Linked DNA regions of Xenopus tropicalis. The protein of the gene in region 3 interacts with the protein of the main gene of each other region in a pairwise test. Links are inferred from orthologs where the notes say so. Each region holds a gene or a part of one and is shown on either strand. Other genes may lie near its edges. The genes, in order: tceanc, znf346 and tarbp2.

Region 1 (4,806 bases), about 41 Mb from region 3:
AACACAATAATTGTTTTTATCCCAAATTAAAATCAGGAACACTATATTACTTATCACTGCATACTTGAAAAGCATAGTGTTAAAATGCTACATGCCCCTGCCCCTTTAAGTAAAGGTGGCCACACAAGGTAATATTTGTGAGGTTGCCTAACAAGGGAATCTTCCACCAATATGCCCTAGGGCAGGGGTCCCCAACCTTTTTTTACCTGTGAGCCAAATTCAAATTTAAAAACGTGGGGAGCAACACAAGCATAAAACATGTTCCTGGGATGCCAAATAAGGACTGTTATTGGCTATTTGGTAGCCCCTTATGGACCGGCAGCCTACAGGAGGCTCTGTTTGGCAGTACACCAGGTTTTTATGCAACCAAAACTTGACTCCAAGCCAGGAATTCAAAAATTAGCAACAAGTTGCTCACAAGCCACTGGTTGGGGATCACGGCCCTAGGACCAAACTATTGCATTACAATGTAGAGGATACGAAAAGTCGGAGCAAGGTCTGCATCAATAAGCCCCCACTCAGCAACTCCTGCAACAGAGGTATGTGACTAAGGTCCTATCGCTACAGTGCCCTCCATAATGTTTGGTACAAAGACACATTTTTCTTTGAATTGCCCCTCAGTGTAAAATTTTAAATCAATTCAGATGTGATCAATGTGCACATTCCAGACTTTACTTTAAAGTTATCTGCATACATTTAAGTTTGCTCGAGGTAGTATACAAGCGTTAGGGCTCTGGCACACGGGGAGATTAGTCGCCCGCGACAAATCTCCCTGTTCGCGGGCGACTAATCTCTCGAATTGCCATCCCACCGGTGACAATGTAAGTCGCCGGTGGGATGGCACACACGGCGGCGCGATTTCGGCAAATCGCTGAAAATACCTCGTGAGGCAACTTCGCCGATCTGCCGAAATCGCCTGCGAAGCGTGCCGTCCCACCGGCGACTTACATTCTCGCTGGTGGGATGGCAATTCGGGGAGATTAGTCGCCCGCGAACAGGGAGATTTGTCGCGGGCGACTAATCTCCCCGTGTGCCAGAGCCCTTAAAAACGCTCAATCATTATTGGCACATTTGTGTAGTACAGACCTCGAGCTACATGCCAATAAAGACTGAACGTTCCTCTTGCCATCACTCCGATACAGGTAAATCTTTGTCTAGTCTGTCAATAACACATTTTCCCAGAATTCTGTAGGCAAACTGTAATCTGGCCATTTTTGTGGCTAACTAGTTTGCCACACTGGTTTGCATCTTGCAGTGTAGCCTCTGTATTTCTGTTCATGATGTCTTCTGCAGATAGTAGTCTCTGACAAAGATACAGCTGCCTCCTGAAGAGTGTTTCTGATCTGTTGGACAGGTGTTTTAGGTGATTTTTCTTTACCATAGTGAGAATTTTTCTGTCATTAGCAGTGGAGGTCTTTCTCAGCCTACCAGTCCCTTTGCAATTACAGAGCACACCAGTACATTCCTTCTTCTGAATGATATTGCAGACAGTTGATTTTTGTAATCCTATGGTTTGACCAATGTCTCTAAGGGCTGTGACTCACGGGGAGATTAGTTGCGCCACAACAAATCTCCCTTGCCTTGAGCGGAAACTTTGGCGACTACGGCAAATCGCGCCACCGCATATGCCATCCTACCGGAGATTTACATTCTAACCAGTGGGATGGCATTGCGGGGAGATTAGTCGCCCGTGACAAGGGAGATTTGTTGTGGCGCGACTAATCTCCCCGTGTGTCACAGCCCTAAAGGCTACTAAACTCCAGAAAATATCCTGCCATAGACAATACTGAGAATTGCCTTTGCTAAAACACATGTAGAGACAATTATCAGTAAATGATCAGCATTGTCTATTTTAGTAGCCACAACAAGTAGCTGCTACTAGTAGCTCTGTGTGTCTTCACCCTAATGGTTTTATTCTTGTTTTTCAGCCTTATAATAGCTTCCTTGACTTTCATTAACATAAGCAAGCAAGGTATCTTATCCCTGCACTAATGAAGCAATAAAACACACCTGAGTTATCTCAAACACCTGTAAATCCAATCGTCCCAAACATTATGGTGCCCTGAAATGAGGGGGACTATGTATAAAAAGTGTTGTAACTTCTACATAGTAAAAACTAAAATACATGCAAATAACTTTCATTTTAAGTCTGGAATGTGCACTTTAATCATGTCTTAATTGCTTGATTTAAAATTATACACTGAGCAGCACAGGGGTAAATTTAAAAAATTTGGGTCTTTGTCCCAATCATTATGGAGGGCACTGTCCTTTTAATTCTGGCCCTGCATGTATAGGGTCCTTTGAAAGCCTCTCTAAGGGCTCTGGCACACGGGGAGATTAGTCGCCTGCGACAAATCTCCCTGTTCGCGGGCGACTAATCTCCCCGAAATGCCATCCCACCGGTGAAAATGTACATACGCAGCGGCGCGATTTCAGTGAAATTGCGAAAGTTGCCTTGAGAGGAAACTTCCGCAATTTCACTGAAATTGCGCGCCGCCGCGTATGCCATCCCACCGGCAATTTACATTTTCGCTGGTGGGATGGCATCACGGGGAGATTAGTCGCCCGCAAACAGGGAGATTTGGGCAAAGATAAGTCAGATAGCGATTGTGTATAAACACAGAATACAGAGTAATAACTGCGCTAGGAGTAAACAAATAAAAAGCAAGTAAAAGTCAGCTGCACCACAAATCGTGGATCCAATAGTCCACTTGTAAATAATAAAAGTTCCCCACAGGTGCGCTTGTTCCAGACACCTTCACAGCTCCTCCACGTCACAGCAATACTTTACAAAGTAGCCTTTTCATATATGCACCTCACAGTAAGTGGAGACAAACATGTATCACTTTTCTCCCTGTTCTAAAACAAATGGCCAGGGATCATGAAGCATGTACTGGATCGTGAACAATTTCCCTGCTACTGGATCTACTCACTGTGTCTCAGATTGCAAAGTGCATATCACGCCGTTTACTACTCCATATTCTCCCTCCGTGCTGATAACAAAGACTTCCTCCTGTCCTGAATTCCACAAGCGACCACGTGACTCCCTCTGGTCAATCACGTTGTCCCTTCTCTCCTGTGTGAGAGGAATGCAACAAAGCAAGGGGGGGTGGGAGGGGGAAGCGTGCAGAGGTAGGATTCAATCAGGCTGTGTAGTTATGCCCATAGGCGGATTTTCAATAAGGCTTGGGGAGGAACCTGCTTTGGCACCTTAAAACCTGGCTCTGTTTCTGCACTTCCCTGCAAATCTTCTCTGGGTTCTGCAGAAATCAGCTGTGCTCTGATTGGATCTTTGTTCTTGTGGATTCACCAATCAAAGCACAGCTTTCTGGACAGGCAGTAAAATTTACCAATCAAGGCTTAGATGCAGACAGGGATCGGGAAATTTTGCTGGAGGCAGTGCAGAATTGAAGACTAAAAAAAAAAGAATGTGCGGGCTGTAAACTTTACCCAAGAACCAACTTTGAACTTTTGCTGCAGTTTTCATCCCACAGATACTATACACAAGTACTATACATGTTCTAAAGACTGACCCACTAGCTGAAATTAAATTGGTTTTTGTCACCTGACATATATAATATCCCTATCCCCTACCCTAACAGATGGAGGGTAAGTTAACTTTTCCCCCCGACAAAGCTCATTGTGCTTTAATATATTTGTTATGGTTTTTTGCACTATTTTTCTTTTACCTTTGTCATTGTTTTTTTCATTTCTAGTTAGTTACAGTGGAGCCCATGCTGTGTATCAGTGCCAGTGTTATAGTGCCAGGGCCTGAATATCTGCCATCTGTACCCACTGCTCCTCATGGCATATAATGTGCTGGTTTTGTATATAAAGACTGCGTCTCACTGTATATAACGTGCTTGGGATGTCAGTACCTGCTGCCTCTCTCTATAAAGCTAACTTAAACACATCTAAAGGGGTGGTTCACTTTTAAGTTAACTTGTAGTATGTTATAGAATGGCCTATTCCTAGCAGCTTTGCAATTGGTCTTCCTAGTTAATCTTTTATAGTTTTTAAATAATTTGTCTTTCACTTCTGCCTCTTTCCAGCTTTCAAATGAGGGTCACTAACCAAAAAGTATTGCTCTGTGAAGCTACAGTTTTATTTTTCCATACAGGCCCCTAAACTATTCATATTCCCATCTCTTATTTAAACCACTACCTGGTAAATAAGACCCTAGCAACCAGATAGCTGCTGAAATACGAAATGGAGAGCTGCTGAACAATAAGCTAAATAACCGGAAAACCATTAAAAATAAAAGAGGACCAATTGCAAATTGTCTCAGAATATCAATGTCTACCTTATATTAAAAGTTAATTTAAAGGTGAACTACCCCTTGAAGCTAACTGATCACAAACATAAATGTATAGAGAACCCCTAACAGAAGTGCACGTATGAATGCTTTTACATCCTAAGCATTTTAGGGTTAAAAAAAGCACCCCCACCTGCACTTTTGCACAGTAACCCTGGAAGTCAGTGGCAAGAGGTAGTTGGGAGGTTAATTTTTTACACCAGCAGTGAATCCACTAAGTCTCACATTAGCTGTAGGTCAGACTCTGTCTTCAGCCTCCCCAAACAAAAAAGTCACCCTCCGCCTATGGTTATGCCAAAGAACATTTATTTGATCATAATAAAAGCCCAACGCGTCTCGTATGAAAATACTTTCTCAGGGGCATTATCAGAGGGAAATGCCGTCCCCATTATATTATGTCATCAATTAATTATGCAAATGATCTAAAAGTCAATCAAGTTTTATACACACAATAAATATCACTTCTAAAATGAGTTAAAAGATAAAAGAAA
Region 2 (4,557 bases), on a different chromosome or scaffold from region 3:
GCCGAGAATTAAAACAAAAACACCTGGTTTGGGGGCACTGAGATCAACATCCAAGAGGTTGGTGATGTTGCTCACGAGCCACTGGTTGGGGATCACTGCTTTATACTAAGTCACATCTATTTAAGAAAACTCTCCAGGTTATTCTAAATTAAGGTAATGAAGAGATGACACAAAATTGCTATTGAATCTATCATGTTCCCATTAACTATCTCCACTTTTTTTGGGTTTGGCCGAACCCCTGAACCGAATCCTAATTAGCATATGGGGTAAAAATCCCCCACAACCATTTAACCCTTTCCGGATGCTAATTAGCATATGCTAATTTGGATTTGGTTTGGCCGGGGACTGCAGATTTAGCCAAAACCAAATCCTTCAAAAAAAAAAAAAAACAAAAAACAAAACAAAAAACCCTGGATTCCCTAAATTCCCTACAAGCCACTCTACAGTATAAACAGGTATGGCACCCATTACCCAGAATGCTTGGGACCTAGGGTTTTCCGAATAAGGGGTCTTTCCGTAATTCGGATCTCCTACCTTAAGTCTACTAAAAAAAAATATTTAAACAGTATTTAAACCCAATAGGATGGGTTTGCCTCCAAAAAGGATTAATTATACCTTAGTTGGGATCAAGTACAAGGTACTGTTTTATTATTACAGAAAAAAGGAAATCATTTTTAAAAATTCGAATTATTTGCATAAAATGGAGTCTACGGGAGATAGCCTTTCCGTAATTTGGAACTATCTGGATAATGGGTTTCCGGATAAGGGGTCCGATACCTGTACTACAAAAATGTTAAGCTGGAATTATTCACCAAACACAACCCCACTAGCTCTTTAGTGTGACAGTTTAAATGTAATACCCAATCAGTCTGTCAGCGTGAAAATAATGTCTGTGTCTTCCCTGGGTGATCATCAGGCAACCAATCAGTACCAACAGCCAGCATGTCCAGAGGTCTTCAGGCTTTCTGGGCTCAAGTCTTGCATTTCTGGCCGAAAAGCTGGACAGCAGCACCTCCACCCTCCAGTTCAATTTTACAGGTACAGGTATGGGACCCATTGTCCAAAGTGCTCGAGACCTGGCGTTTTCTGGATAAGAGGTCTTTCTGTAATTTGGATCTCCTATCTCAAGTCTACTAAAACAAAATTATTTAAACAGTATTTACACCCAATAGGATTGTTTTGGCTCTGTTCCCAATGGGTTTCCGGATAAGGGGTCCGATACCTGTACATCAAAGCACAGCATGTTTAACCTTCTACAGTAAGGGCTCTGGCACACAGGGAGATTAGTTGCCGCGTCAAATCTCCCTTGTCACGGGTGACTAATCTCCCCGAACTACCATCCCACCAGCGAAAATGTAAGTCACCGGTGGGATGGCACATGCAGCGCAGGCGATTTCGGCAAATCGCCTGCGTAGGTTCACTGGTGGGATGGTACTTTGGTACCAGTGTGCCAGAGCCCTAAGCCCAGGGTTTTGGAACCCTTACCTCTCCCAATGCCCCGGAGTGTGCACCCCAGTTATTTCACCAGAAAAACATTACACACACACAGCCACTATAAAGCAATGCACCATGAGCGTTTTTACAACATGATTCATCATCCAGCACTTTCATTGTCACATTTACCATGCTATGCCCATAGTGTTTGCAAAGAATTTTTCAACTAACAAAAAAAATAGTAATGTAAAAAAGATAAAAGCAGGGGACAAATAGTATATAAAATCCTGCAGAATGTGTGCAAAAGACAGAACTTTGCCCATTAATTGGCTGACGTGGCGTAATGTGTTTGTGCGCACTGTGAATCATATTATCCCTTAGTAATTAAAATGGCAATTTTCTTTTTAGTATTATCCAATGGCACAAACAACTAAAAACACACATTTTTACAAAAATGGTTTATTTAAATGAAACAGGGTTTTACATATGCATTGTTTTATACAATGTATTTTTATAGAAACCTGCATTGGGTGGGGGGTATAGTTTTCCTTAAATTATCAGCTGTCTTTTGCCTTTTTCCTGCCGTCAGATGGAGGGGGGTCACCGACCATCGCTGCCAAAAAACTGGTGCTCAGTGAAGCTACAATTTTGTTATTGTTTATTACTTGTCTTTCTCTTTAGGCCCCTACTTAATTAATCTTTTAGTGTCTCATTCAAATCACTGCCTGACTGACTGGTAAAATTTACCCAAATACCTGCTGAAATTCCATACTGAAGAGGTGTGGCAGAAATATGGATTAAAGTTGCCCCAACATTTTGGATGGGGAAAAAATAATAATAATCAGAAATAACCTGGGGAATGAGTAAACAGATTGACCCTGCGAGCAGGAAACATGGCAACTTTTTCCAGCAAGACGTAAAGCATATTTCTCCCCAGAAGTATATTAGAGAGCGTTGTGTTCTCAGACAACACTTTTGATAATGGAAAGAGCAACCCTTTGAAAATCAGAGAAGCGATCACCTTGGCTGCGTTCAAGCGATACAACTCATGCACAAAGTTGCGTGTTTTGGTCAATTTAGGGCGAGATTCAAACCATCAGATGTTATAAAGGAAATCTTTGTATCAGAGCAAAAACCCAAGGGCAACCTTTGCTTGTACGTCCCATAACTAAGCAGTCGCCAGGCCCACTGCCCCCAGACGCACACCCACTACACGCGTTCTATTCAGGTTTCCTGCTCCTCACTCAATCCCCTGAGCACAGCAGTAACTTTATATTTGTGCTGACCTGCTTCCTTTCCCACTGGCAACTCCACAGTATCACCGTCACCGAACTCGTCTGCCATATTCTTCCCAAGAAGAAGCCGGCACCGTGAGAAACTCACAAGAGCACACACACCGCGACACAGCGCCTGGCAACTGCGGCCAGAGCGGGTACGTGCAACTCTCGCGAAACGCGGGACTGCATGGGTTCTACGGCGAACTCTCGCGAGATTGCAAGGCGCTCGGTTCCTTATTCAAAACTAACGAAACTTTATTTTGCTTACCCGGAAGGAACAATCCAGGCCGATGAAACTTATTCGCGATTGGTGTATTTCAGGCTGCGGGAGAAGTTAAAATAGGTAACCCAAAGTCGTATTTATCTGTGCCGGGAAGAATGGTTTTGGTACAGAAGTCACAACGCTTTGTCATAATATATAAAACTGCCCTCGATATTAAGTGGAAGAATGGGCACCGAGTGACACAAGCGCTTCTGTAATGAGGCGAACAGAGACGCCACCTTGGCGGGCTCCCACTTCTGCCCAATGCTGACTGTATCTAATGTGGTTTTCGGGTGGCTTTTAGGTCTTCTCAACTGTGGGGGCAATATTCATTATTAATACGTTGCGTTACTGCGGGTGACCGGGTGAGGGCGTCAAATTAGGGCGGCCACTGAATCATTTATGTGTGTTGACATGTCAGAGTGTACCTTGCCAGAAGCCCTCTTACTGTTTATTAACCAGATTTTTGGCTCAGTTTACAATTGTGCTGCACCTCATGCCTATTTTTACCAAAGAAAAGGTAAATGATGGGGGGGGGAGGGGAAGGAGGCTACACAGTGTAGGTCCTGCAGTCGGTTGTGTATCAAGGGGTTACCTGTAAAAAAACAAAACAAAAAAGAAAACGTAGGCATGAACATGTACACATGTGGGTCGAGTCGGGTTGCGGGTCTGGGTCGGGTCCTGGTTTTTAAATATTGCTTCGCTCAGGATTCCAACTTAGGATCTGTGACCTTAAAGGGACTGTAACACCAAAAAATGAAAGTGTATAAAAGTAATTACTATATAATGTAATGCTGCCCTGTACTGGTACAACTGGTGTGTTTTCCTTAGAAAGACTACTATAGTTTATATAATAAAGCTTCTGTGTAGCCATGGGGGCAGCCATTTACAGGAGAAAAGGCACAGGTTACTTAGCAGATAACAGATAAAACCCCATTATATTCTACAAAGCTTATCTGTTATCTGCTATGTGCCTGTTCTCCTTTTTCCCAGCTTCAATGGCTGCCCCCGTGTCGACATAGCAGCTCATTTATATAAACTATAGTAGCGTTTCTGTTGCAAACTTACCAGTTTTACCAGCGCAGGGCAACTGTACATTATATTTTAATTACTTTAAAACACTTTCATTTTTTGGTGTCACTGTTCCTTTAATAGGAAGAAGGGCCAGAAACATCATTAACAGCTGAATCTCGTACCCACTGAGGAAAAATAAAACTATATCAAATATGACAGATTGTTCTTCCTGTGTCTTTGTGGGTTTCCATCTGGTGCAATAGTTTTTTCCACACTCGATTCTTCCCCTCAAAGAAAAAAAATAAAATAGAATGAACTTGGGCTTGAAGAAAGTGGGATTGAGACATAGGTCCAGTAAAGTACAAACTTGTTCTAGATTCAGCTTTGTTCTGCTGCTGGTGTTGTCTTGTTTCAGCCGTTTCCTCGCTGTTTTAATTGCCTCGGTCTTGGGTATGCATGTGAATAGAGATGTAACGTCATAGGACACTGGGGATGCACCGAATCCCGGATTTGGTTTGGGATTTGGCTGAATCCAGGCTTCTTTTAAGGATTCAATTTCAGCCGAATCCG
Region 3 (4,039 bases):
ATTTCCTATCTTACTATGCAGCCCTTTTCGTATTCATATTCCAGTCTCTCATTTACATCACAGGTTGCTAGGGTAAATGAGACCATAGCAACCAGATAGCTGCTGAAATACCAAACTGGAAAGCTGCCAAACAAAAAGCTAAATTACTATACCACAAAAAATGAAACCCGATTGCAAAGTGTCTTAGTATCAATATATACATCCAACTAGTTAGTTAAACTAAAGGTGGACCATCCCTTTAAGGGCTGCTGAGGCACGCTGAGAGTAATTTAAGCATATCTGCTATTGAAATCCAACTTGCCTGCTGCCCCTACTTATCCCAAACGCCAGAGTAGTATTTTCCAACTATCGCACAAAATTCACACAAGTAATCAAATCCGCTTTCCTGAAGGCAAGCAATTATGCTGTGCTTCTTTATACAGGCAACTTTCAAAGATCTACATGATAGAATTAAAGTGACTCTGCCGCATATAAACATTTAGCAATAAGTTCTCACCTGTTTTCCTCGCACATCATTCCAAACATGTCCCCTCCTTTCAGCAGTGAGAGCGCCACCTCGGCTGCCTTGTGCTTTGCAGCCTTTTTGCTAGGTCCTTGACCTGTGAGGGAGACAGAAAAAACAGATCTGAGGAGGTCATACTATTCAGGTCTCCCATGGCCCACATGGGACCGGGCTAAGGGGGTCAAAGGAACGTCAGAGAACCTTAACGCATTTAATTTCTGACAATTTCTGGGTTATAAGGACCCCCTGAAATGATTGTAATTCCCCTAGCCCCAGATGGAATAACATTAAAGCAGCACAACCAGTTCTACTCTGCTGAATAACCCTTATTTATCTGCATTGGCCTGGAGCCAGTAGAGAAGTGTAAGGAGTAGAAGAGGGCATTCTTAAATAAAATAAAATAAAATAAGAAAATGGCGAGCGCTGAACCTCTGGAATAGAGCCCCTCAGTATTTCTATACTTCCCTCTGGTAAGGCTAAACTAATCTACTAAAGCAGCGGTTCTCAACCTGTGGGTCAGGACCCCTTTGAGGGTCGAACCTTTTCACAGGGGTCGCCTAAGACCATCGGAAAACACAGCTCAGCTCATGCACCATTTAAATATTTCTGATACTAAAAGGAAATAGGAAAGGCAAGTGCGAGCAGGTCTCACATTTGGTACAATAGCAATAGCAAGACAGATGCGGCTGAGATGAAAACGATCACAATGCTTATCAGATAGCCACTGCAATCATATGGGACCAAAATCTGGATGGGTAGGAGCTTTGAAAACAGAATGAGGACTACAGAACAGAAGAAATATGTCAGTGACGCGGGCATTTCACCTCTAGTACTGGGTGGCGCAGAGCACTGACCGGTGCAGTTGATGTCTCCAACAGATACGCGAAAAGTGAAGTTGGGTTGATGGGCTTGTCCCTCGGCTTTAAGCAGGTCATACACAGGAGTCTTCCCTACCCGAGTCCCATACTCCTGAAGTAAGCTGATTGGGGTCTTCCCAGGACTCGATGCCAGCATCTGCTCAATACTGCATAGAGAAAGAACACGGAAATTAGGTGCCATTCAGTCATCACTAAAAAACTCAAACCAGCACGCTCATCAGTCAGTATGGCCTCTCCAAAGCACTTATAGCCTCTGCTGGCAAAGGACAAAAGCATGGGCTTCTAACCTATAAACTACTGCAAAATTAAGGAAAATAAAATCCTAAGCAGCACTCCAATATACTTTCATTACAAATAAGTTATTTGCAAATGTAATCACTACTGAAAGCTGTATATGTCCATCCGTATATATTCCCTGCACTCCTGAAACAATGGGATTGACTAGTGAGATGAGACAGTTGCTACACTGTTTCAAGAGTCAGAACAAAAGAACAGAAAGGGTTAAACAATGCTTTTAGTTGCAATAACAGTTACAGATAACTTTTGTATAATTAATTTATGCTGTAAAGTTGCTTAGAATTACATTCACTTTAGAAAGCAATGACTTTTGTGGAGATGCATTTTAAATTGGAAAAAAAAAAAAGGTACATAGGGTGATGGGTGTCGGGCTCAAAAATATCATTTTAAGATGCACAGTTGGAGGCGTGTCTTATACCGGCCTTCCTAGATTTTTTCCCCCTATTAATAACATTGGAATCAAGCAGCATATTTACCAGCCAGGCCAGTAATACAAACTAAGTGACAACCTTAGGCTCATGGGATTCCGCATAGGTGGATTTTCCATAAGGCTAGGGGAGGCTAAGCCTCCCCAAACCTGCTTGGCACATTAAAAAAACAAAAAAAAAAAAATCCTTACTTCGTTTCTGCACTGTGCTGGAAATTTGTTCCTTGCAAGCCCGTTTTGCTGTGCTCCGACTGGATCTTTCTTCTTGTGGATTCTCCAATCAGAGCACAGCTTTCTTGACAGACAGTAAAATTGACCAATCAGAGCACAGATGCACACAGGGATCGGGAGATTTTGCAAACTGGAAACAGAAATGAAGACTGAAAAGAAGAATCTGCAGCTGTAACTTTACCTAAGAACCAACTCTCAACTTTTGCTGCAGTTTTCATCCCACAGGTACTATACCCAGGCACTATACCCAGGCACTATACCCAGGCACTATACCCAGGCACTATACCCAGGTACTATACAGTTCTAAAGAATCACTAGCTGACATTAAATTTTTTTTTCCTGACCTGACATCTATAATAATTTATAATCTATCCCCTACCCTAACAGATGGAGGGTAAATTAACTCTTTCCCTCTGAAAAAGCTCATTGTGTGTTTATATATTTGTTGTTGTTTTTTGCACTTACTATTTTTTTTTTGTCATTGTTTTGTTCATTTCTAGTTAGTTACAGTGGAGCCAATGTTGTGTATCAGTGCCAGTGTTATTCAGGCCCTGGCACTATATCTGCCATCAGTACCCACTGCTTCTCACTGTATATAATGTGCTGGTTTTGTAAATAAGGACTGCGTCTCACTGTATATAATGCGGAGTCAGTACCCACTGCCTTTCTTGCTATAAAACTAACATAAACACATCTAAAGGGGTGGTTCACTTTTAAGTTAACCTTTAGTATGTTATAAAATGGCCTATTCCTAGCAACTTTGCAATTGGTCTTCCTAATTAATTTTTTTGAATAATTTGCCTCTCTTCTGCCTCTATACAGATTTCAAATGGGGGCCAAAAAATATTGCTCTGTGAGGCTACAATTTTATTATTATTATAATTTTGTATTACTTATTTTTCCAAGTAGGCCCCTTAACTATTCATATTCCCATCTCTTGTTTAAACAACTACCTGGTTGTTAGGGTAAATAAGACCCTAGCAACCAGATAGCTGCTGAAATACCAAATGGAGAGCTGCTTAACAAAAAGCTAAATAACTGAAAAACCATTAAAAATAAAAGTGAATTGAATGCGAACTACCCCTTTAAGCTAACTGATCACAAACACAAATGTTTGCAGATCCCCTAACAGAAGTGCCTGTATGAATACTTTTACATTCTAAACATTTTAGGGTAAAAAAAAGCAACTCCCCCCCCCCCCGCACTTTTGTACAGTATCCCTGGGAGTCAGTAGGAACAGCAAGAGGTAGTTGGGAGGTTAACTTTTTATGCCAGCAGTGAATCCACTAAGTGTCACATTAGCTGTAGGTCAGTCTGTGTATGGGCCATCTTTAGCCTCCCCAAACAAAAAAGTCACCTCCGCCTATGCAGATATCTGTGACGGGCCTTCTGCGCTCCCAGGACACGTTCTGCACTGAGGCGACTGAAAACACGCACTCGACGCAACATCAGGCCAGTGACAAGGCAATATCTATAATAAATAATAACTTTTATGTAAAGGGTTCATTGGCCAAAGTCATTCTTTTTTGGATTGCAAAGAACAAAGTTCATAGGCAAAAACTTTATTGCTGGTCTGAGTGCCTGTCTGGATGGAAAATATTTGAAGTCAGAGAACTGTACCTGGGTGTTGCACAGAACATTTAATTTATTAATTTTAAATTAATTATTAAAGGCAAAATCTATAAACTGTGCGCAACGCCACAT

The links.
Region 1: the proteins of tarbp2 (region 3) and tceanc interact in binary tests that used the Homo sapiens proteins (3 or more experiments, as listed by UniProt). The two-hybrid records come from large-scale screens. The link is inferred for Xenopus tropicalis from reciprocal best matches to the Homo sapiens genes TARBP2 and TCEANC.
Region 2: the proteins of tarbp2 (region 3) and znf346 interact in binary tests that used the Homo sapiens proteins (3 or more experiments, as listed by UniProt). The two-hybrid records come from large-scale screens. The link is inferred for Xenopus tropicalis from reciprocal best matches to the Homo sapiens genes TARBP2 and ZNF346.

What each region holds. Positions count from the first base shown.
Region 1 is NC_030678.2:105,791,406-105,796,211, forward strand, and holds the start of tceanc (transcription elongation factor A N-terminal and central domain-containing protein), read right to left. Parts: upstream 3,242-4,806; 5' UTR 2,934-3,241; intron 1-2,933.
Region 2 is NC_030679.2:46,420,633-46,425,189, forward strand, and holds the start of znf346 (zinc finger protein 346), read right to left. Parts: upstream 2,925-4,557; 5' UTR 2,779-2,924; coding exon 2,721-2,778; intron 1-2,720.
Region 3 is NC_030678.2:146,789,175-146,793,213, forward strand, and holds part of tarbp2 (RISC-loading complex subunit tarbp2), read right to left. Parts: intron 2,330-4,039; exon of another isoform or gene 2,297-2,329; intron 1,527-2,296; coding exon of another isoform or gene 1,517-1,526; coding exon 1,357-1,516; coding exon of another isoform or gene 1,327-1,356; intron 600-1,326; coding exon 497-599; intron 1-496. UniProt on the Homo sapiens protein: Required for formation of the RNA induced silencing complex (RISC). Component of the RISC loading complex (RLC), also known as the micro-RNA (miRNA) loading complex (miRLC), which is composed of DICER1, AGO2 and TARBP2.